Linked DNA regions of Stegostoma tigrinum. The protein of the gene in region 1 purifies or fractionates together with the protein of each later gene. This does not show direct contact. Links are inferred from orthologs where the notes say so. Each region holds a gene or a part of one and is shown on either strand. Other genes may lie near its edges.

What was found.
Region 2: the proteins of acad9 (region 1) and timmdc1 purify together in Homo sapiens (affinity purification with mass spectrometry; 3 studies listed by BioGRID and IntAct, counting the BioPlex papers as one, with this or other methods). This does not show direct contact. The link is inferred for Stegostoma tigrinum from reciprocal best matches to the Homo sapiens genes ACAD9 and TIMMDC1.

Annotation. Positions count from the first base shown.
Region 1 is NC_081364.1:25,607,283-25,622,883, forward strand, and holds the start of acad9 (complex I assembly factor ACAD9, mitochondrial), read right to left. Parts: upstream 8,198-15,601; 5' UTR 8,162-8,197; coding exon 7,961-8,161; intron 4,286-7,960; coding exon 4,192-4,285; intron 1-4,191. UniProt on the Homo sapiens protein: As part of the MCIA complex, primarily participates in the assembly of the mitochondrial complex I and therefore plays a role in oxidative phosphorylation.
Region 2 is NC_081372.1:5,681,647-5,697,596, reverse strand, and holds the start of timmdc1 (complex I assembly factor TIMMDC1, mitochondrial), read left to right. Parts: upstream 1-5,196; 5' UTR 5,197-5,345; intron 5,346-11,260; 5' UTR 11,261-11,274; coding exon 11,275-11,525; intron 11,526-15,950.

The DNA.
Region 1 (15,601 bases):
GTTACATTCTAAATTCCAAAATGTAATTGTCAAGCAAAGGAATCCTAACAGTGTCACTTTAATTAAGGTAGAAGATTACAGGATCAATTACCTAATCCATTTTGTACACAATGCATAACTGGAAGTGGCGATTTGTCATATTATGCCTGTTCCAACTCTTAGTGGGAGCCAATTGATTCCACTCTCCTGACCTTTCCCATTCCCATGCAATTATTTCCCCCAAGAATTTTGCCAATTCCCTTTCATAAGTCACTACTCAATCTATCTACACCACCCTCCAAGGTAGACTATTGCAGATCTTTTACTGGTCCACTCAGAAGACATGGATTTCACTGGCTAGGCAAAAAATTGCCCTCAAGCAAGTAGCGGAATTTGTTTCGAGATAGTAAGAACTGCCGATGCTGGAGTCTGAGATTACACAGTGTGGAGCTGGATGAACACAGCAGGTCAGGCAGCATCAGAGGAGCAGGAAAGCTGATGTTTCGGTTCAGGACACTTCTTGAGAAATGGAGGATGGAAGGGGCCTCTGAAATAAATAGGGGGATGGTGATAGCAGGTAGGTAGTGGAGTGGATAGTGGGAGAGAAGACAGACAGGTCAAGGAGGCAGGGATGAAGCTAGTTAAGGTGAATGTAGCTAGGTGGCGGCGGGGATTGGTCAGTGACGTGGTAGGAACAGATAATGTGGGAGAAAACGGACAGGTCAATGAGGCGGGGATCGCGGGGGAGATCTGGTCCTGGGAATGAGATCGGGGGTGGGAAGATTTGAACCTAGCGTAGGTGTTCGACAAAGCAGTCTCAGAGTCTCTGCTTGGTCTCACTGATTACAGGAGACCACATTGGAAGCAGGGAATACAATAGACCACATTAGCGCATGTGCAGGTGAACAACTATCTGATGTGGAAGGTTTCTTTGCAGCCTGGGGGGGGAGAGGGGAGGAGGGGGGAGGGGAGGGAGGGGAGGGAGGGGAGGGAGGGGAGGGAGGGGAGGGAGGGGAGGGAGGGGAGGGAGGGGAGGGAGGGGAGGGAGGGGAGGGAGGGGAGGGAGGGGAGGAGGAGGGGGGAGAGGAAGGGTCAGGCGTAGGGTCAGGCGTAGTACCACCTGCGCTTGCAGGGAAAGGTACCGGGGGGTGGCGGGGCTAGTGGGGAGTGTGGAGCGGATGAGGGAGTTGCGGAGAAAGCTGTCCATCCAGAAAGGCAGATAAGGGTGGGGAGGGAAATATATTCTTTATAGTGGGATCAGATTGCAGGTGGCGGAAGTGGCAGAGAATGATGCGTTGAATTTGGAGGTTAATAGGGTGATATGTGAGGTCAAGGGGAATTCTGTCTTGGTTTTAATGCGGGAAGCGGGTGTGATGGCTGAGGTGTGGGAAATGTAAGAGATGTAGTCAAGGGTGTTTTCGACCACTTTGATTGGGGAGGGGGGGGGGCGCGAGGAGGAGGAGGAGAAGTTGTGGTTCTTGAAATACGAGGACATCTGTATGTTCAGGGCTGGAACGCCTCACCTTTGGAGCAGATGCTGCGGAGGCAGAGGAATTGGGAATATGGGTTCGTATTCTCGCAGGAGGGTGGGTGAGAGGAGGTGTAGTCTAGGTAGCTGTGGGAGTCGGTGGGCTAGAAACAGATATCAGTTTTGAGGTGGTCACCAGAGATGAAGACAGAGGGGTCCAGGAGGAGAGAGAGGCATCAGAGATGGTCCAGGTGAACTTGAAGGTGTTAGTAAAGTTGATAAACTGTTCGAGCTCCTCGTGGGAGCACAAGCTGGCGCTGCTACAGTTATTGATGTAACAGAGGAAATGGTGGGCGATAGTGCCTGTGTAGCTGTGAAAGAGGGATTGTTCGACGTATCCTACAAAGAGGCAGGCATACCTTTGGCCACCCCCTTAGTCTGTAGCAAGTGGGAGGAGTCGAGGAAGCAGTTGTTAAGGGTGAGGACGAGTTCAGCAGATAAGGGAGTTGGTGGTGGGGGATTGGTTGGGCCTGCAGGAGAGGTAGAAGTGGAGAGCTTTTAAGCAGTGTGAAGGGGAACACAAGGGCCTGGACATCCATTGTGAAGATGAGGTATTGGGGGCCAGGGAATCGGAAGTTTTGGAGGAAGTGGAGGGCACGGGTGATTACTTGAACCTAGGTGGGGAGTTCCTGGGCCGGGGTGAGAAAACAGAGTCGAGGTAAGCGGAGCTAAGTTAGGTGGGTTAGGAGCAGGCAGAGACAATTGGTCAGCCAGGGCAGTTGGGTTTATGATTTTTGAGAAGGAGATAGAATTGGGAGATGCAGGATTGGGGAGCGAAGAGGTTGGAGGCTGTGGATCGGAGGTCACCTGAGGTGATGAGGTTATGGATGATCTGGGAGATGATGTTTGGGTGGGTCATGATCAAGGGGGCGGTAGGAGCAGGTGTTGGAGAGTGTTGGGGCCTGGCCCCGGCGATTTAAAGTTCAGTGCGCGATACCACAACTGCGTCTCCCTGTCACCAGGTTTGATAGTGAGGTCAGGGTTGGAGCAGACGGCTGCACGTTCTTAGGGTACAGGTTGGAGGAGTGGGAGGAGTGAGAGGCGTAGAGAGGTTGAGGTAATCAATGTCACAACAGCAGTTGATGTGGGCATACTGACAGTGCTGTCAAGGAAGGAATTTCAGGATTCTAACCCACGACAATGACAACATTTTTCCAAATCAGGTGGTGAATGGCTTGGAGAAGAACTTATCGGTCATGGTGTTCCCAAATATCTGCTGCCTTTGCTCTTCTAAATGGGGAGAGCTGATGGGTTTGGAACGTCCTGTCCGAGGAGCCTTGGTAAATTTCTGCAATTGTTCTGAGAAATGGCAAACATTATTGCTACTTGAGCACTGGTGATGGAGCAAGTGAATGCTTAGGTGGATGTGGTGTCAAACAAGCTGGCTGCTTTGTTCCAATGTCAAGCATCTTCAGTGTTGTTGGAGCTGCACTCATCGAGGTTAATGGGGAGTATTCATCACACTCTGGACTTGTGCCTTACATGGCTTGACAATCACAATGCAAATTACCTGCTACAGGATTCCTAACCTTTGACTTGCTCTTGTAGCCATTATATTTATTTGGCTAATCCAGTTCAGTTTCTGGTCAATGATAACCCCCTGGATGTTGATAGTGGGGGATTCAGTGACTGTAATGTGATTGAATGCCAAGGGGCCACAGCTAGGTTATCTCTTGCTGTTGATGATCGTTACTGGGCACTTGTGCAGAACAAACGGTAAATGCCACTTGTCAAAGCTTGTATCTTAAGGCATTTGAACATGGGATTTCTCAGTTTCTGAGAAATCACGAATCATGCACTACACTGTGTTATCATTGGCAAACATCCCCATTTCTGACATTACGAAGAAGGGAAGCTCATTGATGAAGTAGGCGGGGACTGTGATGACTGACAATAACTGAAACCATCTTCCTTTGATCGAATTTCAACTTATAGAATATTGAATGGTCTGCACAGAGTGGATGTTGGGAAGATGCTAGGACCTGAGGGTACAGCCTTAGAGTAAAGGGAAGACCTTTTAGAATGGAGATAAGGAGAAACTTCTTCAACCAGAGTGCGCGGAATCTCTGGAATTCACTGCCACAAAAGGCTGTGGAGGCCAGGTCATTGAGTACATTTAAGACTGAGATAGATAGGTTCTTGATTATTAACAGGATCAAGGGTCAAGGGTGGGAAGCAGGAGAACGGGGTTGAGGAACTTATCAGCCATGATTGAATGGCAAGCAGACTCAAGGGGCTGAATGGCCTAATTTCTGCTCCTATGTCTTATGGTCTCATAACATGGTAGAGTTTAGCATTCACTTTGACAGTGAGAAATTTGGATTGGAAACAACTATGCTAAACTTTAATAAATGTCATTACAAAGAAATGACAGTAGAGTTCGTTGGAAAATTTTGGGAAAGGAGTTCAGCAGAAAAGACAGTTGATGAACAACAGCAGATACTTGAGACAATTGCTCATGGTGCAAAGATATACCTGGAGGAGAAGAGGATAAGCCAAGGAAGTTAAGGACAGTTTCAAATTGAAAAAAATAAACATATAACGTGGCAAAGATTAGTGGTAAGGCAGCAAATTTGGAAAGTTTTAGAAGTATCAAAAATTTAATAAAGAGTGAGAAAATAAACCAAAGTCAATCTTAACTATCACGAAAATTTACGCAACTAATATTAGGCAAAACAACATACCATCGTCATTGAAAAATTTTTCCACAGGTACAACAAGTTGATTAATCTCTTCCAATTCTTCATTACTGATCTCTGGATAAGGAAAAACTTCTTTCTGGAAAAAAGTGTATAACCTGAGATTCTTTATAATACATAATCTTTTTTATTAACCAATTTAAACCAGGTTTTTTTCTCCTTCTTCAATTGTATCCCTTTCATTTCAGAGTCAGAAGACCGGGAACTAAAGGTCAGCGCAAAGAATAAATAATCAAGTATGAGATTTCAGTGCAATGCTGTAGTGTTCACAACCCTAGTACAGCATTTGATGCAAACATGAGCTTTCAACCACATACTCAAACTATTACAAAGACTGGCTATTTCTAAATCTAAACATTGGACAACTATGCCAGTGCTTCAGCTGCCCTGCTGCTAAAACCTTCATCTACGTCATCATTATCTTGGGACTGGACTGTCCCAATGCATTCCTTGTTGGCCTCTCCTCTTCCATCATCCATAAATTTCAAATAGTATTGCCTGTATTCTAACCCACAACAAGGCCCCATTCATTCATTACACACGCTTGCTGACCCCCACCAACTGTTAGATTAGCAAAGCCCCAGTTGGAAAACTCATTCTGATATTCAAGGCCTTGCCTCTTCCTACACTACATTCTCCTCAACAACATTCAGATACCTGTGCTCTTCCAATTCCAGTGCCTCATAATTTCACGGATTCTTGTCAAAGCAGTGACTTCAGTTGTTAAGACTCTTAAGCATTGAAATTCCCTCTCCAAACTTCCCCATTTGTGATACTCTTTTCCCTCCTTTAAGAAATTCTGTGAAATCTCAACCACCAAGCACTAGGTAATCTTGAATCTCGTAATTTATTATATCTTGTTTAATAAAACTCTTGTGAAGCACTTTCCAATGTTTACTATGTCAAAGGTCAATATATAGCTACCAGATCCCACAGTGCTATCTTAGGAGCAGAGAAATACTTCTGGTTTCCTGGGCAAACAGTTATCCCTCAACCAATATCCTTAAGATAGATGGTATGGCCTTTAAGTTACTGTTAATTCCTTATGATTCAGCTATTACATTGATTTTGCAAAGTGTTTGCTATATCCTCTGTTGCAACAGTGACTACATTTCAAAACTACATCTTTGCCTGTGAAGCACTGTATGATGTCCTAATATCAAACACACTTACGGGGCAGAAGTTTTTGTAAGGGGCTACCTAGGTTCTAGCCATGTCTTTTCAAAATGCAATAATGGATCTATAAGTTCTTGGATAGTAGGATCTGCCAATGCTGGAGAATCTGAGATAACAAGGTGTAGCGCTGGATGAACACAGCAGGCCAAGCAGCATCAGAGGAGCAGAAAGCTGACGTTTCGGGTCTGGACCTTTCTGCAGAAATGAAGGGTCTGAAGAACGGTCCAGACCTGAAACGTCAGCTTTCCTGCTCCTCTGATGTTGCTTGGTCTTCTGTGTTCATCCAGCACTACACCTTGTTATCTTGTATAAGTTCTTGGTTTCTCTTCACTTCCCATTTCTGTAAACAGAGAACCAATTGGATTTTCCAATTCTGGGACACCATTCATAAATCAAGTGTTCAAAGAACTGTAACAGTGAAGGAGACAGCAGTTTAGCCCTTTGTATCTGCACCAGCTCTCTGAATTTGCAATTCAGTGCCAATTGTAAGGGACCATTGTCTTGTGGATTTTTTGGATGAGGCATTAAATGACATGGTATAACTGAGATGTTAATGGAATAAAATCCCATTGATTTCTATACTTTTATAAATTAATGTCTTTTATCTGCCTACACATAGGTGTGCAGGCACTGCCCTGAAGTTTCCTGCCCAGCTAGGAATTCATTGTAAGACTTTGTAACTCCTTGTCTTCCCTCGCGTCAGTATGCAGACACTGTCTTAAGCTTCCTGACTGAATAAAATTAGAATTAAACTGTCTCAAATAAGGTTAAGTGAGGAACATTTGTAATGGTGAGAGACTTCTGAAGCATGTAACTTCTGTCGCTGACAAAGGGGCCAGGGCACTGACTTTGTTGTAGCCAGACACACCAGCAACTTGAAATCACAATCTGTCCTGATAACAATTTGAAATCGCCTCCTGCCATTAGCAGCCACTTCACCAACAATTGATACTATATCCCGGTCTTTTATGTTCTTGATGTAATAATTGTTTGGTATCCTGTCTTTGTCTGTTGTAATAATTGTTTCATGTATCATGTCATTGTGAGATGTGAAATTGTTTTATGTATTATGTACTTAATAAAGTATAAAAAGTGGGGACTGTCCACTGCTCGGGGAGAATTACTTGTGAAACTCTGCACTCTGTGCCGGGTTAAGTACAGTGATTCTCCACAGCTTGTACTTGCTTGGTAATAAAAGGATTTGTGTTTTTCTAAACAGGTCAGTGTCTTGTTATTGCATCAAGTCCGTGAGGGTCTCCGAAAACGAACCAGACAGAACAGCTGGATGTAAAAGTGTTTATGGCACTAAATCAAATCATAGGTCAGTTTCCCAGTGTCCTGGTGAATATTTAATCCCTTATTCAACATCACTGAAAAAACTCAATATAATCACACTGCTTTTTTGGGGGGGGGGGGTGTGGGGGTGTTTGCAATTAGAAATTAGCTACGTGTCCGATATTACAAGAATGATTACAGTTCAAAAATGGTACTTTATTGACTGTAAAGCACTGACATCAATAGTCATAAGGAGTCTGATCTTAGACAGCAGTGGATACATTGCACTTTCAGGCCAGGTTAAACAGATTATTTCTTAACGAAGTCAAATGTTATGGAGTAGACAGAAAAGTAAAACGATGATCTAGTTAAATGATGAAGTAGGTTCAAGAGGCCCTAATATATATGCTTTGTATTTTCATATGCAATAACCTGCTAGTGGCTGACCAATGTCCAAGAACTCTGACCGGGTATTCAGATAAAATAAATATACATAATCTTAAAGAAAAACAGCTGCAATACTGACTCTCACTTCTGCATTCTAATCCTCTCATGAAGATAGAAAATTCACATTTTAAAAGTCAGTAGCACTTATTCTACTACACATGTTTTTAAGAACTGAAATGCACAACCGAGTGAATTTAGGCATACTTATCACAATTTGGTAGAAATTCACCAGTAAACATTGTTACATGCCACACCTATGTTGAGCTTAGCAATAGTACACCTTTTGTTTTTAAACAGGCTGTCCAAGAGACCTTGAAAGGTAAATTAACATCAAATGCCTGCATCAAACAATACAGCAACATCTTACAAAATGAATTCAATGAAGCGTCAATTTGACAAATATTTGTTAGCTCAAGGACATAACTGTTTTGACTCAGAACTAGAAGGCCTGAGTATGGAAGAGCCCGACAGCTAGGTCGTCACTCCATCCTCATGTCTCTTTTCCCTCTATTGTCTTCCAAACTACGTTGTGGCCCAGACCTTCGCCATTTCTTCCCCATCTTTCCACAGTCGTCTCCTCGTCTTTTTAATTTACTAGGGCCCTTTTCCCCAACCCTCCCCCACCCTCTTCTCATTCTCTCACGTATCCTCTCCTCCCAACCATCCACCTTCCCTTCTTACCCACCCAGTCTCCCCTCACCTCCAACCCCGCCTCTGCCCTCCCCACCCATGCCCCCCGAAACCTCCATGCATCGCAGGCCCCTCTGCCTCCCGAACCCCTGCCTAGGCTCCCCGTAACCACTCTCTTCGAACCCTTCGTCCCCCTCCCAAGCCCTTCCCCGCCCCGGCCACAAACCTGGTTGATTTTCCCCAGAATCAGTTCCTTGACATAAGCCAGGCTCCGGTCAGCAGACCTGAAACCGCGGTGATGACAGCACGTAGGGAGCAGCCTCCCAGTGCTGCCATCCTCCCGTAAGCGCTTGCCCGAGGCCAACGGCAGGCGACAGGCGGACACACGGACCAACGACCGTCCACCGGCTACCGCAAACCGCTGCATGGCTGACCTCTGACCTCAGCAGTCGTGGATCCGAAACGGCCTACGTCGCACGGTGCTGACGTCACAACGACCGGGTGCCAGACCGCTGGCGGCCACTAGGGGGCAGGCACCTTCCAACTGGGGACCCTGTCCTTCAGGCCAAAAGGCGCGTGGTTGGTTCGGTTTCAGCCAAGAAACAATCGGCAAAGCATCTTTTTTTTTATAAAAAGGGTCTTCACTTCAAAAACCTAAGGCGAAGGACATTTACAAAATTAGCTTGCCCAATAAGCACATTACAGTCGTGCAGGCCTCAAGCTGTCAACCACCACAAATTCATTGCCCAGGCCATCAGAACAGAGAAAGGCTCACATAGGAAAATCAGGAACTAGATAACAACCACCAGAAGGAACAGGGAACCTGCACCTGTCCGGTCTTATCGCAGAAGGTTGATTTGAAGGTACAACAGGTAATTCAGAAGGGAAATGGAATTTTGCCCTTCATTGCTAGAGGGATTACATTTAAAAACAGGGACGTTACGTTACAGCTGTACATGGAGCTGGTGAGGCCACACCTGCATACTGCATGTAGTTTTCGTCTCCTTACTTGAGAAAGGCTATACTGGCACCGGAGTGGGTGCAAAGGAGAGTCAGTAGGTCATAGAACATAACAGCACAGTACAGGCCCTTCAGCCCTTGATGTTGTGCTGACCTGTCATACCGATCTGAAGCCATCTAACCTACATTGTTCCTTGTACGTCCATATGCTTGTCCAACGACGACTTCAATGTACTTAAAGTTGGTCAATTCTGGAGTTGAGAGGGTTGGCTTATGAGGAGAGACTGAGCAGACAGGGATTTTTTCATTAGAATTTAGAAGAATGGGGGTGGGGGGTGGAAATCTTTATAGAAATATAAAATTATGAAGGGAAGAGATAAGATTGAAGCAGGGAGCATGTTTCCGGTGGCAGATGAAACTAGAACAGCAGGACTTTAAGGAAGCGGATTTAGGACTGATTTGAGGAGGATCTTTTTCACCCAAAGGGTGGTGAAGCTATGGAATTTCCTGCCTTGTGAAGTAGTTGAGGCTTCCTCATTGAATGTTTTTCAAAACTAAGATAGTTAAGTTTTTGAACGGGAAAGGGTTTACAGGTTATGGTGAGAGGGCGGGTAAGTGGAGCTGAGGCCACAAAAAGATCAGCCACGATCTTATTGAATGGCAGAGCACACACAAAGGTCCAGGTGACCTACTTTCATGCTCCTGGTTCTTATGTTTGTATGTTCAGGGACAAAAGTAGTAATTTCTGAAAAAACTCAGGTCTGGCAGCCTCTGTGGAGGGAAGTCAGAGTTAACGTTTTGGGTCCAGTGACCCTTCCTCAGAACTGATGGTGGCTGGGAAAAAGTTGCTCTTTTATGCAGGAGATAGGGCACAGGGCAGGGCAGTAGGGATTAAGTGATAACAAAGTGTGGAGCTGGATGAACACAGCAGGTCAAGCAGTATCTTAGGAGCACAAAAGCTGACATTTCGGGCCTACACGATTCATAAGAAAAGGGGGAGAGGGAGAGGGTTCTGAAATAAATAGGAAGAGAGGGGGAGGCAGACCGAAGATGGAGAGAAAAGATAGGTGGAGAGGAGAGTATAGGTGGGGAGGTAGGGAGGGGATAGGTCAGTAGGGAAGATGGACTGGTCAAAGAGGCGGGATGAGGTTAGTAGGTAGGAAATGGAGGTGCGGCTTGAGGTGGGAGGAGGGGATAGGTGAGAGGAAGAACAGGTTAGGGAGGAGGGGACAAGCTGGGCTGGTTTTGGGATGCAGTGGGGGAGGGGGAGATTTTGAAGCTTGTGAAGCCCACATGGGAACCCTGCTGCCCAATGGTATCAATGTGGAATAGGAGTTGCTGTTCCTGCAACCTTCAGGTGGCATCATTGTGGCACTGCAGGAGGCCCATGGTGGACATGTTGTCTGAGGAATGGGAGGGGGAGTTAAAATGGTTCACAACTGGGAGGTGCAGTTATTTATTGCGAACCGAGCAGAGGTGTTCTGCAAAGCGCCCCCCAAGATGTGCAGGTGAACATCTGCTTAATATGGAAAGTCATCTTGTGACCTGGGATGGGGGTAAGGGAGGAGATGTGGGGACAAGTGTAGCACTTTCTGCGGTTGCAGGGGAAGGTGCCGGGTGTGGTGGGGTTGGAGGGGAGTGTGGAGCAGATCAAGGAGTCACGGAGAGAGTGGTCTCTCTGGAAAGCAGACAAGGGTGGCGATGGAAAAACGTCTTGGGTGGTGGGGTTGGATTGTAGATGGCGGAAGTGTAGGAGGATGATGCGTTGTATCCGGTATGTGAGGACGAGGGGGATCCTCTTAGGGCGGTTGTTGCGGGGAGGCGGGGTGTGAGGGATGTGTTGCGGGAAATGCAGGAGACGCGGTCAAGGGCGTTCTTGACCACTGCGGGGAGAAGGCTGCAGTCCTTGAAGAACGGGGACATCTGGGATGTGCGGGAGTGGAGTGCCTCATCCTGCCTGACTTCAGATATTGATGCCAGATCCACACACAAGTAAAATCAATTCATACATTTATGACCCCTGGGACTACAAATGTTAGGAGTAAGATTTCTTCAAGATTGACAACGTATCTTTTACAACAATTGGGGCAGGACGGTGGCTCACTGGTTAGCACTGCTGCCTCACTGCACAAGGGACCTGCATCCAATTCCAGCCTTAGGTGACTGTCTGTGTGGAGTTTGTATATTCTTGCTATGTCTGTGGGGGTTTCCTCCCACAATCCAAAGATATGCAGGTTAGCTGGATTGGCCATGGGAAATGCAGGGTCACAGGGTTGGGGAGGGATGCGTCTGGGTGGGATGCTGTTTGGACAGTTGGTGGGACCTTCACACTGTAGGGATTCTACGATAATGAGGATTATGTGATGATAATTGGGTGAAACAAGACTAATTTCTTCATAAGTGGAAAATGTGCATGTGTCCATTTTGGCAGGAAGAACAAAGAAAAGCTTGAAATTGAAATGGTGAGAGATTGTAAAGTTTTGTGGAATTTGTGTGTCGTTGATCATGAGTTGCAAAAGATAAGTGTGCACATACAGAAAGTAATTAGGAAAGCTAGCAGAGTATTGTTATTTATTGCAAACAGTATTGGATAGAAAGTGTGGAGATTATGCTTTAGTAATACAGGACACCAGTGAGACTACACGTGGAGTACTGTGTACGGTATTGGTCAACTTATTTAGGAAGGATAGAAATGCATTGGAGGCAGTTCAGACAAGGTTATGACTAGGAATAGGTGGTTTGCCAAGTGAGGAAAGGTTGAACAGCTTAGGGTTGTATCCAGTAGAGGCACTTTAATTGAAATATGTAAGATCTTGCCGGGGTAGATGTGGAGAGGAGGTTTCTTTTTATGTGAATTTCAAGAACTTGGAATCGCACTTTAAAAGTCAGGGGTTATCAATTTAAAACAGAAATGAGACAAAAAGCGAAGATTCTCAAAAGATTGAAAAGCAAAGTTTTTGAATATTTAGAGGGAGAGCTGGACTTTTGTTCAGCAAAGCGGTAAAGTGTTATTTGGGATGGGCAAGAATGTGCAGATGATATCAGTGAACAGTGGAGCAAGCTCAAGGTGGTGAATGGCTGAATGGCCTACTCTTTTTCCTGATTGGAGCTGTTGTAACAAGCTCCATTCACTATTTAAAATCCTTTTGATTTTAGAAGCTTAAAAGGTTTACTTTTTGGAGGCTAAAAAAAGGAACAAGCAAAACATTGCTTGTAACGTAATGAGGCCGCCAGCAAAAGGTGTCAAAAGTAAGGAATCACAATAACCAAAGGAGACAAGTGGTCCTGGTCTGAGGAAAGTGTGTCAGAAAAGAGGCTTCATGGAGAAAGAGGTAGCAACCAAAGGATTTTCTCACCAAACATGCTTAGTTCCATGTAAATACTCAGCTTTCCTGGTTTAACCTTAATTTCCCCTCATGTTCATAATAATCTGATGCTACTTTATGATCTTCAGGGTGTCTTAGCTTAAATGATGACAATATTAGATGTTGTGACCTGACAACTCCCAGGATTGTGAATAATGATGGCTGTGCAATAAACATTCCTTGCCATCAGATCCCATAACAATATTAGAGAGAAGTTTGGGACTGCTTGCCAAAGTGTTGGAGTGATTTTGATTTGGTATTTTCTTAAAAAAAATTAGAAATTAGAGCAGAATTAAATAATAAAGCCATTGAAGCCTGTTCTGCCATTTAACAATATCATGGCTGACTTTCTACCACAGCTTCACTTTCTCACGCTATCCCCACATTCCTCAATTCCCTTAGAATCCAAAAATCTATCAACTTTTGACTAAGATATACTCAATGACTGAGAAACCTCAAAACTTCAAAGATTTATGACCCTCGAATTGATAATAAAAAGTTCTTTATGTCTTGATCCCAAATGTGCAATCTCTGCTGAGACTGTGGCCCCCAGTTCCAGATATTTTTCTCAAAATATACTTTATTCATAAAATTTGAAGTTTTTTACATGACCAAAGTTGACATTAAACAAGGTACTAAATTGTTTTCTTCCAATATCACTAAAAATTACAGTTAATATTTGAAAAATTCATTATGTCAGAGATATAAGCAAAGGGGTTTTTACCTAGGATCCAGTCCCTTTCTGAACCCTAGTTGACAAACTTTAGACAGTGATCTTTTCCCTTGGGCCAGCTGCCCCAATTTTTAGTCATCCCTCAGCGCATAGTCCTGGGCTATGAATTCCGATCTAGTATACTTCTGGCTGTAAAGACTTCAGTTTGTTTTGTGCTTAGAAAAGTGCAGATATGACCATATTGTAATTCCGTCAAATTAAAAAACTAACTACAACTGCTGGAACAGAAGGTTTTGAAGAAGGGTCACAGGACCCGAAACGTTAACGCTGATTTCTCTCCACTGATGTTGCCAGACCTGCTGAATTTTCCCAGCAATTTCTGTTTTTGTTTGTAATTCAGTTAGTTGCTATCACCAAGTCTATAGAAATGAACTGATCTCCTGTTCAAAAGATCATTGTTTCCAAGTTGCCCTGATGAACAGGTTTTTGAGCATGAAACAAAACAAAACAAAATACCAATATCCTCAGTATTGTAAAGGTAAGGTAAACTATAATAAAAAGAGATGCTGAGCCGGTCACAACCTGGTTAGTGATTTGGTTTCGGAGCAAAGCAGGCAATCCGATACATTCTCAAACTCCCAGTGCAGTCTGTGTAGGAATGAACAGACCATTCTCATGGCAAACCAACAACTGTCAGCATTTCTAGATTCTCCAGACTACGGTGGTCCAATTGAGAAGCTAACTGCCTCTTGCTCAATGTTTTCATGAGCCAACTTCGTAAATTACCTCCTCATATGATCTGAATATCCACACATGGTAAATAGATATCTGGCTTATCAAAAGTTACAAACAGCTCCATTGGGGAAAATAAACTTGAAGCCATTATTGTCTGTCTTTATCCATTATGGGAATAATCAATAATATTGTCCTCCTTTCTGATGTACAACTTCACTCCCTTATTAATTCATCATTTCAGAAAAACACAAAATTGAAAGATCTGTCAGCATAAATGAAAAATGAATTCTGGATCGTTAATTATTACCCCCAAGGACTACTTCACAGTCACATTTAGAAAGATTAAATTCTGCTTCAGCACCTGTCGGAGCTCAGATTCAAGCAAGGATTGACAGAGAGATGTGGGGAAACTGGATTAGTTGATAAAGGTTAGTGGTTAAACCCAAATCACATTTCAGCACCTCTGGGAAAGTTAAGTTGTGGACACAAACTAAAACATAGGACGATGCTGTCATGGTTAACAGAGAGGCAGGAGTGCAGCTCAATATTCCACGATAGAGGGTAGAAGGAGGTAAAAGAGGAGGTGTTGCATATTGATCAAGCAATCAATTACAGCAGGAATGAGTGTAGTATCTTTGAAGGCTCCTTAAATGAAGCCATATGTGGTAAACCTTTTTAAAAAAAAACAATCACATTGCTGGGTGTGTACGATAGGCCCCCCTCATAGTCGGAGAGAAGTAGAACAGCAGATGTAGGCACATTTCATAAAAGTATAAGGGAACGATAGGAGATTTCAACTACCCCAACATTAACTGGGGCAGCATGATGGCCCAGTGGTTAGCACAACTATCCCACAGCACCACAGATCCAGGTTCGATCCCAGGCTCTGGCGACTGTGTGGAATTTGCATGTTCTCCCCATGTCTGTGTGGGTTTCTACCCAAAGATGTGCAGATTAGGCGGGTTGGCCATGTTAAATTGCCCATAACACCCAGAGATGTGCAGGCTAAGTGAGTTAGTGTAAGGGTAGGAAGGGGTCTGGATTGGATGTTCTTTGGAGGGTTGGTGTGGACTCAATGGGCCAAATAGCTTACTTTTACACTGCAGGTGTTCTAGTCAGTGTGGAAGTGCAGAACTCTTAAAATCCAGCCAGGATAGCTTCTGAGACAGTACGGAGATGGCCCCTCCAAGAGGCAGTGACAAAGCTGGGTAAGTGGATAAAATATTATTGGCTAAGCATGTTGCAGACAGCGATCATAACTATGTTAGATTCAAGATTTTTATGGAGAAGGACAAGGATGGACTTGAAGTTAGCGTTCTCAATTGTTGGGGGGGTGGGGGGTGCTGCTGATTTTAATAAGACCAGGTATGATTTGGTCAGAGTAGAGTGGGGCAGATACTTTCAGGTAAATGTCTGTCAGTGGGATACATTCCAGTAGGAAATAGGGAGAGTACAGGACCAACACGTGCCAATAAAGACAAGGAGTGGCACCAACAATTCCAGCAAATCTGATATATCAAGTGATAAAGAGAAAAAGGGAGGCTTATGCTAGATACTGAGGTCTCAGAAAAGCACAAGCTGTGGGGAGTTCAGAACATGCAAGGTGAAACTTAAAGCAGAAGAGCAAAAGCAAAAGGAGGGCATGAAGTAATGGTGGGTAAAGTTATTTCACAAGTACATTAAGGTAAAAAGAATTAGGGAAAGACTAGGGCTCAGAGGTCCACAATGCTAATTTGTGCATGGGGCCAAAGGACAGATTGGATTTAGAAATCAGGGAAGCAGAGACAGAGAGGTGGTTCTGAATGGTCTGGCATACTTAAAAGTAAATTGATCTCCAGCACCAGCAGAAATGTATCCCAGGCTGTTCAATGAAGCAAGGAAGGAAATAGTAGTGGCATTGGTAATAATTTTCAGTTCCTCTCATTTGTGGCATCAGTATTCAAAAGGGAGCAAGAGATAAGCTTGGCAGGCCTGGCAAAACTGATGTAGAGTCACTGGACTCTAAGCGTTAACTCACTTTTCTCTCCACAGATGCTGCCAGATCACTGCAATTGTTCTTGTTTTAGGATCTCCAACATCTGCAGTTTTTTGTTTTATTTTAGTGATGGTTGACAGAAGCTTGTTGGGTGTTGCA
Region 2 (15,950 bases), on another chromosome or scaffold:
CAGAGCTAGAAACAAGTGACTCAGCTCAAATGGTTGATATTGGGCTCAAGAGGTAGAATTGCAGGATGTTTGTAGAAGTGGGAGAGGTCGCATGGATAGTATGAGGCAATGTCCTAGAAGGATTTGAAAACAGTACAAAATATTAACCCCTCCTGACACAAAAGCAGAGTCATGCTATCACTGGTAATGGTGACATAGTAATGTCACTGGAGCAATAATCCAGAGACATAGGTAAATGTTTTTGGGACACGGGTTCAAAATGGCAATTAATGTGATTTAAATTCAATTCTAGATTTCTAGATGAGATACTCTCATGGATAATGCCCATTATTGTAAAAAAGAACAATCCAGTTCACTAGGTCCTTTAGGAAGGGACCTTAGTGCCTATCCTATCTAAATGAGAGATAAGGCCTACATGTGACTCCAGATCCACAATGTAGTTCACTCTTAATTGCCCTTTCAAATGATCCAGAGCCACTCAGGTCAAGTGCTGAACTTTCCAGTGATGCCCAAATCCTGTGAAAGACTAAATCCTTGAAAGGTTAAAAGGTACATGATAGCAAAACTGGGGAAAACTTGCTTTTCATAGATCAAATGTACGTGTGAGCCTAAAACCAGGAAGTACATCTGCTCAGTGAGACGGATTCGGGTTTTCTCACGTGATTATGTACCTCTTAGCTCGTTATTTATGCATGATGTCAGTACAGTTGAAGTGAAGTATTTTTACTGTCCCCCACTCCTGTACGTATTATGGGTAATTTTTAATTCTATTTTCTTAGACGATGGTATGTTTCACCAAATCCTGTTTATGAAGTTCGATTCAGAATGATTCACAGAAAATCATCTAGGGTTAAATAATGGTTTATTGCTCCCATCAAAACCCAGGGCAATGGTCTGTCTCACACAGTCAGTCACACATTCATCCACAAATGAAAGAAAAGGGAAAGATGTTAAAAATTATAAGTAGCTATCACTCCACAGAAATGCCAGACAATGACCAACTCCCACAAGGGAGAATCTAACTATTGCCCCTTGAAATTCAAAAGCACTACGATTACTAAAAACCCCCTATCAACATCCTGAGGTTACCTCTGATCAGACATTGAACTGGATCATCTATAAAAATATGGTGACTACAAGAGCAAGTCACAGGCTGGAAAATTTCGCTGTAATTAATTCATCCCTAACTTCACAAAGTACCTCCACAAGGTACAATTCAGGAAGATAATGTAATACTCCCCACATCTCAAGGGCAACCTGGGCCAAGCAGTAAATGCTGGCCAGCCAGCAACATCATGCCCCACAAATGAATAACCGTAACGTTGCCTGATGACTGCAGATCCAACAACATTCAAGAAGCTTAACGCCACCGAGGACAAAGCAGCCCATTTCATTGGCACTACGTGCATTCCTTCCAACACTGATACTCATACTGTGCATGCAGTCTATGAGCCGCAATGCAGAAATTCTTTCAAACCTAGATGTTTTGCACACAGTGAAAGAATATTCCATCAAAAGGGAATGCTAGGACAAACAACTCCAAAGCTCCCTAGATGACAAGGTAGACAGAAAGTAAGTTAGAGAAGATTTTGTGTGTTTACAACATGTGTCGGGTAGAAAATAAAACTGAGAACCAAACTGAATATAGAACGTTCACAGCAGGGGTGAAACGGTAAATAAAAGAAGCATCGAGGGTTATGAGAAAAGACTAACAATAAGGTAAATCCCAAAGTCTTTTATATCAGTCATACAAGAATGTTAAAAGGAGGAGTTGGGATGATGAAGGCCCATAAAGGGGAGTCATACATGGAGGCGAGAAGCATAGCTGGGGTATTCAATGAATATTTTAAGTCTGTCTTTACCTATGAGGCACATGCTGCCCACATTCTTGTGACAGAGAAGGGTTTAAAAATGATTTTAATTTCAAAAATGTACTTTATTCATAAAAATCTTAATACACATTGTCACTGAAGCAGTTCGGTTTTGTACAGTCTTTGCTTATGGAAAAATGAAAATTCAAGTCTGATTTTCCCCAACAGTTCCCACAAATAAACCCAAGGCATTTCTAACTTATGCAAGATACTATTTACATATACTTAGGACAGCAAGAGGGTACAATAGTTGCACCGACTCCTGTTGAACTTTTGCTGAAAGATCTTAGATGGTGATTTCTCTCCACTGCATCTTAGCGACAGCTACCCCAAACTTTAGTGATCAGAGATAATGTGAACTGTAGAAGCTGGAGAATCCGAGATAACAAAGTGTGAAGCTGGATGAACACAGCAGGCCCAGCAGCTTCTCAGGAGCACAAAAGCTGATGAAGGGTCTAGGCTCGAAACGTCAGCTTTTGTGCTCCTGAGATGCTGCTGGGCCTGCTGTGTTCATCCAGCCTCACACTTTGTTACCAAGCTTTAGTGTGTCCCTCAGCATGTAGTCCTGGACTTTTGAATGTGCCAGTCTGCCACACTCGGTTGATGTCAACTCCTTGCACTGGAAAATCACCATGTTTCGGGCAGACCAAAGAGCATCCTTCACAGAGTTGATGGCCCTCCAGATGCAGTCAATGTTTGTCACTGCGTGCCTCCTGGGGAACAGACCATAGGGTGTGACTCCTGCATCACAGAGTTGCTTAGGACGAATCATGACAGAAAGAACTACTTCTCTCCAGACATCCTTTGCAAAGACACATTCTAGCAGGAGATGTGGGCAGTCTTTACCCAACACCTCCTCCCCCAAAGGCAGTGTGCAGTGATGCAGACTGACCAGGTGTGCATGAAGGATCTCAAAGGTAATGGCATTCTTGCCACCAGCCAAGCAATGCCTTGATTTTGCTTTTGGAAAGTTCTGGTGATTAGGCATTCTGCAAAAGACTTTGACAATCTGCTCAGGGAGCCACCCGTCAGAGTCTATCCTCTCCTTTTCTCTGAAGACTCTGCATGCTGACCACTTCCTATTGGTCTTTCGGTGAAAGGTGTTTTTCTTTGCAAATTTCTCCATGTGATACAGAACAGTCCAACTACTTGCAGCGTTCCACAGCTCCAAGGCCAGTCCCATCCTTCGCAACACCGGGGACAAGTAGAAGCTCAGTATGCAGTGACACTTGGTGTTTATGTCCTGAGTGTATATGCATAGCTTGATGCAGCCAAACACAAAGGTGACCATCAGGATGCAAGCGGCATTGGGAATATTCTTCACTTCCTTATCCAGAGATTCGTACATAGTGACCCTGCAGACACAGTCCATCTTACACTTCCAGATGAAGTAGAAGATGGCTTGGGTGGCTGGAATGGCACAGGTTCTGGGGATGGACCAGACATGCACCATGTACAACACCAGCAGTACCTTGTACCTGACGACCAGGGTTTTACCCACAATGGAGAGGGGATAAGGTTTAAAATTGATAAGGAAGAGTCAAATTTCACAAGAAGTTTGTATTCACTTGAACTTGGAGGTTTAGGTCTACTCTGCCAGTGACATATGCTGTGTTTCTCTAGCACTTTCTGTTTTCACAAACAAGATATATATATTTAGGATAACAAGGTGTAGAGCTGGATGAACACAGCAGGCCAAGCAGCATCAGAGGAGCAGGAAAGTTGATGTTTTGGGTCTAGACCCAGGTCTACCCCAAAGCATCAGCTTTCCTGCTCCTCTGATGCTGCTTGGCCTGCTGTGTTCATCCAGCTCTACACCTTGTTACCTCAGATTCTCCAGCATCTGTAGTTCCTAGTATCTCTCTCTCTATATATATATATTTAGGTTTGTGAGCGCACACGTTTCTTGTTTTTGCCTAACAAGCCTGTACTTGCGAACATTCCAGGGGCTAGGGATAACACAGCGTGGAGCTGGAGGAACACGGCAGGCCAGGCAGCATCAGAGGAGCAGGAAAGCTGAAGTTTCAGGTCAGGACTCTTCTTCAGAAATTCCAGGAGCTTGTAGTGTTGGTGAGTATTCATAACACACGAACAAATGCAAAAGATGTTCCCAATAGGTCAGGAAAGTTGATTTGCCTGGAAGATTCTGAGAATTTCATAGAAAAACTTTAAGCTGCTATGGGGAAACTGGATTCTTCCCTCCTGACCAATTAGATTTTCCCACCTGCCCTTCTCATGCTCTGGGTATCCTGCAGGGCAAGAAGATTCCACATTTGATTTTTCAGTGTCAATACAAGTGTAGAGCCCCACTAAGCAATATAAACATCTCAAACATTTTTCCACAAGACAATTTACATAATTTTCCTCAAGTTTGGTGAAGTTTATTTTAAATAAAATTCCACCTTTCAAAGGCGATGTTTACATTGCTAGCAGTGTAAATGTTGGATGAATGTTATGACTTGCAAGAAGGCGAACATTATGGATTAAATTTTGAGCCCAGGATGTACCTGGGGATTTTGTCCAAGTGAAATGTGTTTTCACACAATATGTAGATCCATTTTTATTTTTACTCAGACCTGTGCATGAGAGAAAGGAAACGTGATCCATTCTTTCATAAACTCTCACACCATTGTATCTCCTCCACTGTCCTCATATTCTCCACTCCTGCCCAAATCCATCCCTTTTCAAACCTTGTATAATCCTATACTAAAATAAAATCAAGAAACTACAGAGGTTGGAAATCAGAAAAAGAAACAGAAATTGCTGGGAGGTAAAAAATAACCGGTCAGGCAGCATCTATGGAGAGAAAGCAGAGTTAACATTTCGGGTCCAGTGACCCTGCCTCAGAACGTTTTTGTTTGTGTACAATAATCCTATTCCCTCTTGCTCCAGTCCTCTGCCCCTCAACTCTCCTAATATTTCTCCTCACTTGCTCTTTTCTCCCATTTCCATTTCACTTCCCACTCTCTCCCTCCCTTCTTTACTCTCATTCCCTCCTCTACCATTCAGACGCTCCCTTACCCACTCTCATTTCCTGCTTCCACGCCCCATTCATTCCGATCTCCCTCCTACCTCTCACTTCTTTATCCTTCACTCCATACTTTACCCTTTTCTCATCCCCTCCTTTACCCATCACTGCCTTTTTCAACTCTCCCTTCCACCATCCCTTCATCCTTTCTGACTCCCTCCTTCCTCAATCCGCCCTTCCTTCCATCCCTTTCTCCTCCCTCTCCCAAACCCCCCTCCCTTCACCCGACAGGTGACAAGGCGGTGCACATGCGCATGTGCGCACCGTAGGGAAAGACTACAACTACCAGGATGCTCCGCGCGGCACGCTTGCGCAGTGTCTCGGTCTGGGCCCGAAGCCTCTGTGTTGATGCTGCCGGAGTTTTCCGGCAATTTTCTGTTTTCCCTCGGCTGGCAGCGGGATTGAGGTTTCGGACACTGCTTGCTGCATTCTCTCCCCCACCCTCGGTAGGTACATTTGAACCGGTGCCGTGTGCGAGGGTCAGCGCAAGGGGAACCAATGTCAGCGGGAGAACTGCATTCTTGTAGCGCCGTAAAGCCGCTTTTTCACTGAAACGAAGCAAAAAGGTGGTGGAGAAACCCAGCAGCACTGGTCGCATCTGCAAAGAAATTAAAAACAAGAGTTAATGATTCGAGTCTATCAGAAGTGAAATGATTCACTGCGGAGATAGTAGGAACTGCACATGCTGGAGAATCTGAGATAACAAGGTGTAGAGCTGGATGAACACAGCAGGCCAAGCAGCATCAGAGGAGCAGGAAGGGTGACATTTCGGGCCTAAATCCTTCATCAGAAATCTCTGCTGGAGCAGCTCAGCAAGTCTGACAGCATCTGTGAAGGAAACCACAGAGTTAAAGTTTCAGGTCTAGTGACCCTTCCTCAGAACTAATGGTGGCTGGGAAAACATCAGTTTATATGCAGAAAATAGGGAGGTGGTTGGGGTAGGGAGTAAACAATAAGATAGAGTCCAAAGACAGAAAGACAGTTGGATAAAGGAGTTGCTAATGATCAGGCTGGGAGGGTGACTAATTGTTAATGGGGACTGTTAGTGACTAACAATCGAGGGTGTGTAGTGGCAGGCTCTGTGGTAACAAGGCCTGGTGTGTGGGGTGGGGGGCCTGGGACATGGGGGAGCTTAGGCCCTAAAATTATTGAACTCCATATCAAGTCCAGAGGGCTGTAGGGTCCCCAAGTAGAAAATGAGGTGTTGTTCCTCCGGTTTGCGTTGGGCTTTCACTGGAACACTGTAGCAAGCTGGAAACAGAGGTGTTGGCCAGGGAGCAGAGTGGTGCGTTAAAGTGGCAGGCAATAGGTGGTTCAGGGTCTTTTTTTGCGAGCAGAGTGTAAAATGTTCTGCAAAGCGGTCACCAAATCTATGCTTTGTTTTCCCAATGTAGAGGAGACCACACTCTGAGCAGCAAATGCAGTAGGCTAGATTCTGGGAAGTGTAAGTGAGGTGTTGCTTCATCTGGAAGGTATGTTTGGATTCTTGGATACTGGGGTGGGAGGAGGTAAATGGGCAGGTGTTGTACCTTCATTGGTTACAGGGGAAGGTGCTGTGAGGAGTCTTGGGGTGAAGGAAGTGTGGACCAGGGTGACCTGGAGGGAATGGTCCCTGTGGAATGCAGACAAGGGAGGGGAGGGGAATATGTCTCTGGTGGTGACATCTTGCTGGAGGTGGTGTCTGACAATCTTCTGGATGTGGATGCTTGGTGGGATGGAGGGTGAGGATAAGGGGAACCCTATCGCTGTTGTAGGAGGGAAGAGAAGGGGTGAGGGCAGAAGTGTGGGAGATGGGTTGGACCTGGTTGAGGGCCCTGTTGACAATGGAGCTGGGGAATTCTTGATTGAGGAAGAGGGTGGACATTTCGGAGGTTCCCTTATCGAAGTTGACCTCATTTGAACATATGTGACAGAGATGGAGTAACTGAGAGAATGGGATGGAGCTTTTACACGAAGTGAGGTGTGAGGATGTACCGTCGAGGTAGCTGTGGGAGTCAGTGGGTTTGTAGTGGATATTAGTGGTTAGTCTATCCCCGGAAATGGAAACAAAAATGTCAAGGAAGGGAATGGAGGAGTCAGAGATAGACCAGGTGAAAGTGAGGGCAGGGTGGAAATTGGAGGTGAAATTGATGAAGTTTTCCAATTCCAAACAAGAGTGGCAAGCAGCACCGATGATATCATCGATGTATTGGAGAAAGAGTTGTGGGTGGGGGCCAGAATAGGACTGGAACAAGGAAGGTTCCATCTTCCCCACGAAGAGACAGGCATAACTAGGGCCCATGCAGGTACCCATAGCAACCTCTCTTACCCGAAGAAAATGAGAAGAGACGTTGCTGAGTGAGAGGACAAGCTCAGCCAAGCTGAGGAGGGTGGTGGTGGGTGGGGTTGGTTCAGGTCTTTGCTCCAGGAAGCAGCAGAGAGCTCTAAGACCCTCCAGGTGGGGAGTGGATGTGTAAAGGGATTGCACATGCGTGGCAAAGAGTAGGTGGCTGGAACCAGTAAACTGGAAGTTGTGAAACTGGTGTAAGGCGTCAGATTAATCATGGATGTATGTGGGTAGGGATTGGACCTGGGGGAGAGGACTGAGTCAGGGTAGGAAGAGATGAGTTCTGTGGGGCAGGAGCAGGCTGAAACAATATGTCTGCCCGGACAGTCCTGTTTGTGGATTTTTGGCAGGAGGTAGAAACCAGCTGTACGGGGTTGGGGGGGACTATTAGCTTGGAAGCGGAGGTGGGAGATCCCTGGATGAATTGACATCAGTTACCCTCCCAGCCAGATCATTAGCAACTCCTTTGTCTGTCCAACTGTCTTTCTCTTTGGGCTCTATCCTACTGTTCACTCCCTACTCCACCCACCTCCCTATTTTCTGCATATAAACTGACGTTTTCCCAGCCACCATCAGTTCTGAGGAAGGGTGACCGGACCCAAAACATTAACTTTGTGGTTTCCTTCACAGATGGTGCCAGACCTGCTGAGATTTTCCAGCGACTTTTTTTGTTACAGTCATAGACCTGTACAGCATGGAAACAAACTCTTTGGTCCAACTCATCCATGCTGATCATATATCCTAAATTAATCTAGTCCCATTGCCAGCATTTGGCCCATATCCCTCTAAACCCTTCCTATTCACATACTCATCCAGATGCCTTTTAAATGTTGTAATTGTATCAGACTCCTCCACTTCTGTGGTAGCTCATGCACAACCCTCTGTGTGGAAAAGGTTCCTCCTTAGGTCACTTTTAAATCTTTTCCCCTCTCTTATCTTAAACCTATTCCCTCTAGTTTTGGACTCCCTTGGGGAAAGACCTTAGCTATTCACCCTCCTTGCCCCTCATGATTTTATAATCAGCAGTAAGGTCACCCCCTCAGCTTCTAATGCTCCAGAGGAAATAGCCCTGCATGTACAGCCTCTCCCTCTCGTTCACATCCTCAAACCTGGCCACATCCTTGTAAATCTTTTCTGAACCCTTTCAAATTTCACAAAATCATTCCTGTAGCAGGGAGACCAGTTTTAAATGCAGTACTCCAAAAGTGGCCTAACCAATGTACTGTACAGTCGCAACATGACCTCCCAATTTCTATACTCGAACTGAACAAAAGAGGCAAGCATACCAAATGCCGCCTTCACTATCATGTCTACCTGCAACTCCAAGATCTTTGCTCAGCAGCGTTCCTCAGGATCGTACCAATAAGTGTCTAAGTCCTGCCCTGATTTTTCTTTCCAAAATGCAGCACCTCATGTTTATTTAAATTAAACTCCATTTGCAATTCCTTGGCCCATTGGCCCACCTGATCAAGGTAACCTTCTGCACTGTCAGCTACAGCACCAGTTTTAGTATGGTGGACTGAATGGTCTCCTGCTATGCAAATAAACTTTCTATGATTCTCTAAAAGTCTAGACTACCCTCGGGCCAGCCTGATAAATGCCCAGTAATGTTTGTGCTGGGGAATGATCATTCCCAAGAGGAGAAAATCTAATCATCTGCCCTTGACAGTTACCATTGCTGAATCCCCCATAATCAATAACGTTGTACTATTGACTGGTCCAGTTATATTTCTGGTCATGTGAATACTATAACTACAAGAGCAGGTCAGAATCTGGGAATTCAAATATCACCATCTGTGCGGCACAAAACAGGAGTTTTTTTTGTTCTTGGGATATGGGTGCTTCTTGTTAAGCCAGCATTTATTGCTCATTCCTAATAGCCCTGGGGAAGGTGAAGTTCAGCTGCCTTCTTGAACCGCTATGGTCTGTGGAATGTAGAGATATCCACAATGTTACAGGTAGTCTTTGATTAAAATTATTGAAAGACACTTGGATAAGTACATAAATAAGAAAGGTTTGGAGGGATGTGGAGCAGGAGCAGGCAGATGGGACTAGTTTATTTTGGAATCATGTTTGGCGTGGACTTGTTGGACTGAAGAATCTGTTTCCTTGCTGTATGTCTGTAAGATCAGTACTGTCCAAGACAAAGCAGCCTACTAGATTGGCACCTTGTCCACCACCTTAAACATTCATCCCCTCTACCACAATGTACGCTTCCTTCCACAAGATCCATTTCAGTACCTTTCAACAACACCTTCCAAATCTGTAACTTTGTCAACCAACAGAACAAGGACATATGGGAATATGATTCTTTCAAATATTCTTCCAAATTACATACTAACTTGGAGCTATATTGTTGTTCATCTGTTAACAAATAAGAATAGTTCAGATTCTGTCCACAATAGCGTTGTGGATGTGCCTTCACCACACTGACTGCAGCATATCAAGAAGGCAACTCGTCACCAAATTCTTAAAGACAATTAGGGAAGTGCATAAATACTGACCCAGCCAATAAGAATACAAGAAATATAAGAATGCAAGAAATAGGAGCAGTTGTGGAGGCCATTTGCCTCCACACCTGCTCCATCATTCAGTAAGGTCATGGTTGAAATGATTGTGGTGGCAATTCTGTTCTTCCTTGTTCAGAGAGTAATAGTAATAATACTAATATAATGTTGGCCTTTGTTTCAAAGAGAAAGGAATAAGGATATGAAAAGGAATTTTTGCCTGGAGCATAGTGAATCTGATTTTTGTTTTAATCCAGAGAATCCCTGTGCTGTGGGAACAGGCCTTTCGGCCCAATGTGTCCACATCAACTCTCCCACCCAGACCCACCCGCTTACCTTTACCCTGCATTTCCCGTGGCTAACCTACAGATCCTTAACACTATGGATAACCTAGTATGGCCAATCCACCTAATGCGTGTCTTTGGATTCTGGGAGGAAACCAGTGCATCTACCGAAAACCCACACAGATACAGAGGGAGCGTGCAAACTCTACACACAGTTGCCCAAGGATGGAATCGACCCCAGGTCCCTGGCGCAGTGTGGTAGCAGCAGTACCCACTGAGCCACCAGGGCTCAAGGCTGTAGAGGCTGTGCCATTAATTTACATTCAGGCTGAGAATAGACAGATTTTTAATCAATAAAGGAATCAAGAATTGTGGGGATAAGGTAAGATAGCATTGAGAATTCTTGGATCAGCAATGATTTCATTGAATGGCCTGCCTCTGCTCCTTTGTCCAGTGGTAAGAAGGCATCACTATAAGGAAAGTAGCAAAATAACAAAGGGAGCCATGAGAATGTTTTTACACTGAAGTTCTTATGATCTAGAATGCACTGAATGCAATAATGATGTATGTAGATCAAATGGTAATCATTAATAGGGATGTGATAAATAGTTGAAGAGGAGAAAACATGCAGGGCAGAGGGATGTGCAGGATAGTTCTCTGAAGGAGCTGCTGCAGGCCCAGTGGACTGACTGGCTTCCCTCTGCGCTTGAAATTTCTGTATTTTTGACACCATGTAACTGATGATATTCTGAATTTGTTTATCATTTTTTTGAAGGTGAAAGTATGACATAATTAAATAATATTTTCCATATATAATTATCAGTTTTAATTTCCTATCAATAATAAACGATATGCAGTCAAAGCAGTAGGAGCAACTATGTTCTAATGAAGATCATGAGTACTGTGTGAAGAATAAACCTTTTACAGTACGCTTGTCTGATTTAGAAACTTGATGTTACTATTAGCAAGCTAATTTGTAGTGTATTATGTTCGCATTCCCTTTTACAATTGTAATTATTGTTTCTGATTTATCCTAACTTATTTTTGTAATTAATATCTCCGTTCCCTGCACTCCTCACCGATTTAGAGGTGAGAATGATCTGCTCAGATAATCTTACAGTGCGGTCTCCTGTAGAGGAGGTTGAATTGGTGTCACCAGTGGATGCTAGTTGTTTGAGCTATAAATAGGCTCTAAGTAGGCTGGTTGGCGTGAAAACTTAGTTAATTCTTCTGTTGACTTTTAGTGAAATGATACAGGATGAAAGATGAAGAAAGAGGAACATTGGGGACTCTCTCACTAGACTGCAGGCTGACACCAATGTCATGGAATTACCAGACGGCAGGAATTCTGCAGATCTGTCAGAACATCTCTTTCAGAAGACTGTTTCACTTCCCTCAAGTGTTTGCAGCAGATCTTGGAGGGCAGGATGGGAAGCTTCCTGCATGTATCGGCAGACCCCAGGTCCCTGAAACAGGGTGGGACAGAATCCAGGAGCTATTTGTTCGCAAGTATGAATTCACCCAGTTTTTTGTGGACTAAGCTTGATAAAAGTCATATCAGGAAGATGTGACGAGGAGGCAATAATTGTGGAACAAACTAAATGCATATTTTTGAGAATGGTACAAGAAAGAACTGTTTAGAAAAGAAAATAACAGGCAGTCTCAAACGTTTTTGAGTTTTATGCAAAATAAAGCCTTATCTACCATTCTCTCAGCCAGTGTTCTTAAGGTTTGCTGCCATTGTGTATTGTCCTTCGTCATCCTGCTTATTCTGTTCATTGTTCCAGTCAGTTTAGACTTTTTTTGTGCCTTGTCTTGTGCAGTTTTCATTTATATACACTGCCTTTTCATTTTCACTCTTTCATGTCACCTAGAAAGACTGACTTGTCTTCACTTGACTTGTGTCCAGATCATCATAGTTTTTCTTGATTTTTGGTGTATTGCCTCTGGATTCCAGCTTTAGTCAACACACTCAGGAAGGTTTTAAGGTCTGTAAAGGTACAAAATGGATCTAGGGGTGAGAGAATTTAGCTAACCCCAAACTGCAATTATTCTCCTTCAAGTAAAGATGATTGAGAGAGATTTGGTATGTAAGATTGTGACAGGTTTGAATAAGGAGGACAAGTGTTCAAATTGGCTGTTTGTATAAAAGTAAAATGGTCCTAGTCCTACCAGAGCTCTGTTATTGGTGGGGGTTGGGGGGTGGAGCAGAGAGAGAAATGACAGGTGGTGTTTTAACTGAGGGTCATTATGCCTTAGGCGAGGGAAGAGGTTGAGAGGAGAATCTTTCATAGTAACCTCAGCTGGTGTGGACATTGAACCCATCCTGTTATAAAAGACTAAGTTCAATTAGTTTTTTTGGCAAATGGTGAGGGGAGAATGAACTTTTCTACATACCAGACTACCTGAACTCACGCTCACAAGGGTGGTAAATTGGAAACAATCACTAGAAATTAGACTAGAACAAAGGAAATAAACCAGAAAGGTTGTGGGGATCAAGCTGGCAGATGAGGCTGTGAATTGCTGTACAGGGAGCTAGCATGGATTTGATAGGCCGAGTGATCTTTTTACTATAAATTACTCTACTGGTATCCTTGCAGTGAAATATGCAGTGCTGAAGTATGTCATTCAGCCCACACCAGACAGGCTACAAGAGTGGGGATTGGGAAAGTATAATATTGGTGTTTGAAGAATCTTTGCTGAAGTACATTGTCTAAATAGGGTAGAAGGAAATTTATACCACATCCAATGACCTGGTGCTTGATGTGGAAGTTGGCAGCTTAAAATATAGAAATACTGACCATACGAACATAGATTTACAGTCTGAGTGGAAGTCATTCAGGTTATCATGTCTGTGATATCTGCAAAAGAGCTATCCAGTCTTATCCAACCTTCCAACTTCAGGTCTGTCAGTTAGAGTACATAAGCTGCATGTCCTTTTTGTTTTTAAAGTGAGGCTCTGAGATCTAGTTCCCAGCACCACCTGAGTGGAAAACGTATCTCTTTAACTGCCCTCTAATTCTTTGTCCAATTACTTTAAATCCCTCATACTTTAAATCCTTTAAATCGACAACCTCATTCTTTAAATTCCATAATTTCATGGTGTATGGAACTTGAGTATATACCAGGAAAAAAAATTAAATTGAAGTATTTTATCTTGCACCTTTCAGGACATTAAAGATAATACCAATATAAGGGGGGAACAAGAGTTTATATTGTCTAAGAGTGTGATGATGATTGGCAAGTGGTCTCTGATCGGTAGAGGTATTGCTGTAGAGAATGCATTAGTAGGCTGATGACTAACCATTAACTGCCAAGGTTTGTTTATATCTCCTTATATAGCCTCCATTGTTCAAAAGATAACAAATCCAATCTATCTGGGAAGTGCCTTTTCCGAGTCTTTACATCGCTCGATGTTTGTGTACTCTCTAGTATCACCACAGACCAAGGACCAGGTGATACTGGTGTTATATGATGCTGGTTGTTATCGTCATTATCAGCGGGGCCCTACTTATGATACTGGCAAATATATAAGGATTATGTCTCGGTGGAGAATCTTACCTCACCGTTTGCGGTTTTTGCTCACTTGTCACTGAAGAGTTGTAAGAGTTCGAGTGTCAGTGAAAGAGTGAGTCTTGAGGTCTTTTGGTCGAACGTGTCGTATCTCTCGATGCCAAGGAATTTCATGAGGCGGTTATTCATATCCAGCCACTTGCCTTGTGCGCCCATCACGAAGCCAAAGTATCTGGGCACCACACCTCCCGTCAATTCCATGACCTTGGCATTCAGGTGTTTATACTTTTCCTGTTTCTCTCGCCATGCTGTTTCCAGTGCTTTACTGTCATTCTTGTACCGCACTGTGACATCTACCACCGCGATCTTCTGGTCTTTTCTAAATATGAGATCGGGTTTCCATAGGGAGCCGTTTTTGTCAAACAGTCTGGGCTCCACGGCCGACGCCGACGGAACCCCGCCCACAGCTGACGACCTCATCGCCCCGCCCAAAATCTCCACAGCCAGCAATCCCAGAGAAGACAGCCACACTCGGCGCTGCCGTATCTTCACCATCCCCCCAGACCTTCCACTGACTGAGGACGAACGGTCAGTCCTCAGTAAGGGCTCACCTTTGTCTCCCTACAACCACACGTCAACGAATACCAGTCACGGTTGGACATAGAACAGTTTTTCTGCTGCCTTCGCCTCCACGCTTACTTCTTCAACCGGGAACCTAACCCTCCCTCCACTGACCCTTTCGCCCGCTTCCAACACACGTCCACCTCCTGGACACCACCTCCAGGCCTCCTACCTTCCCTCGACCTCTTCATCTCCAACTGCTGTCGAGATATCAACCGCCTCAACCTCTCCACCCCTCTCACCCACTCCAACCTCTCCCCCGCAGAACGGGCAGCCCTCCGCACCAACCCCAACCTCACCATCAAACCCGCAGACAAGGGTGGCGCAGTGGTAGTATGGCGCACTGACCTCTACATCGCCGAGGCCAAACGCCAACTTTCCAACACCACCACCTACCGCCCCCTCGATCATGACCCCACCCCCGAGCACCAAACCATCATCTCCACCATTCATGACCTCATCACCTCAGGAGACCTCCCACCCACAGCCTCCAACCTCATTGTTCCCCAACCCCGCACGGCCCGATTCTATCTCCTTCCCAAAATCCACAAACTTGCATGCCCTGGTCGACCCATTGTCTCAGCCTGTTCCTGCCCCACCAAACTCATCTCCACCTATCTGGACTCCATTTTCTCCCCTTTGGTCCAGGAACTCCCTACCTACGTCCGTGACACCACCCATGCCCTCCACCTCCTCCAGGACTTCCAATTCCCTGACCCCCAACACCTCATTTTCACCATGGACGTCCAATCCCTATACACCTGTATTCCGCATGCAGATGGCCTCAAGGCCCTCTGCTTCTTCCTGTCCTGTAGGCCCGACCTGTCCCCCTCCACCGACACCCTCATCCGCCTAGCCGAACTCGTCCTCGCCCTCAACTTCTCTTTCGATTCCTCCCACTTCCGACAAAGGGGGTGGCCATGGGTACCCGCGTGGGTCCCAGCTTTGCCTGCCTCTTTGTAGGTTACGTGGAACAGTCCCTCTTCCGCACCTACACAGGCCCCAAACCCCACCTCTTCCTCAGTTACATTGATGACTGTATCGGCGCCACCTCTTGCTCCCCAGAGGAGCTCGAACGGTTCATCCACTTCACCAACACCTTCCACCCCAACCTTCAGTTCACCTGGGCCATCTCCAGCACATCCCTCACCTTCCTGGACCCCTCAGTCTCCATCTCGGGCAACCAGCTTGTAACTGATGTCCATTTCAAGCCCACCGACTCCCACAGCTACCTAGAATACACCTCCTCCCACCCACCCTCCTGCAAAAATTCCATCCCCTATTCCCAATTCCTCTGCCTCCGCCGCATCTGCTCCCACGATGAGGCATTCCACTCCCGCACATCCCAGATGTCCAAGTTCTTCAAGGACTGCAACTTTCCCCCCACAGTGGTCGAGAACGCCCTTGACCGCATTTTCCGCAACACATCCCTCACACCCCGCCCCCGCCACAACCGTCCAAAGAGGATCCCCCTCGTTCTCACACACCACCCCACCAACCTCCGGATACAACGCATCATCCTCTGACATTTCCGCCATCTACAATCCGACCCCACCACCCAAGACATTTTTCCATCCCCACCCTTGTCTGCTTTCCGGAGAGACCGGTCTCTCCATGACTCCCTTGTTCACTCCACACTGCCCTGCCACCCCACCACACCCAGCACCTTCCCCTGCAACTGCAGGAAATGCTACATTTGCCCCCACACCTCCTCATTCTCCCCTATCCCAGGCCCCAAGATGACTTTCCATATTAAGCACAGGTTAACCTGCACATCTGCCAATGTGGTATACTGCATCC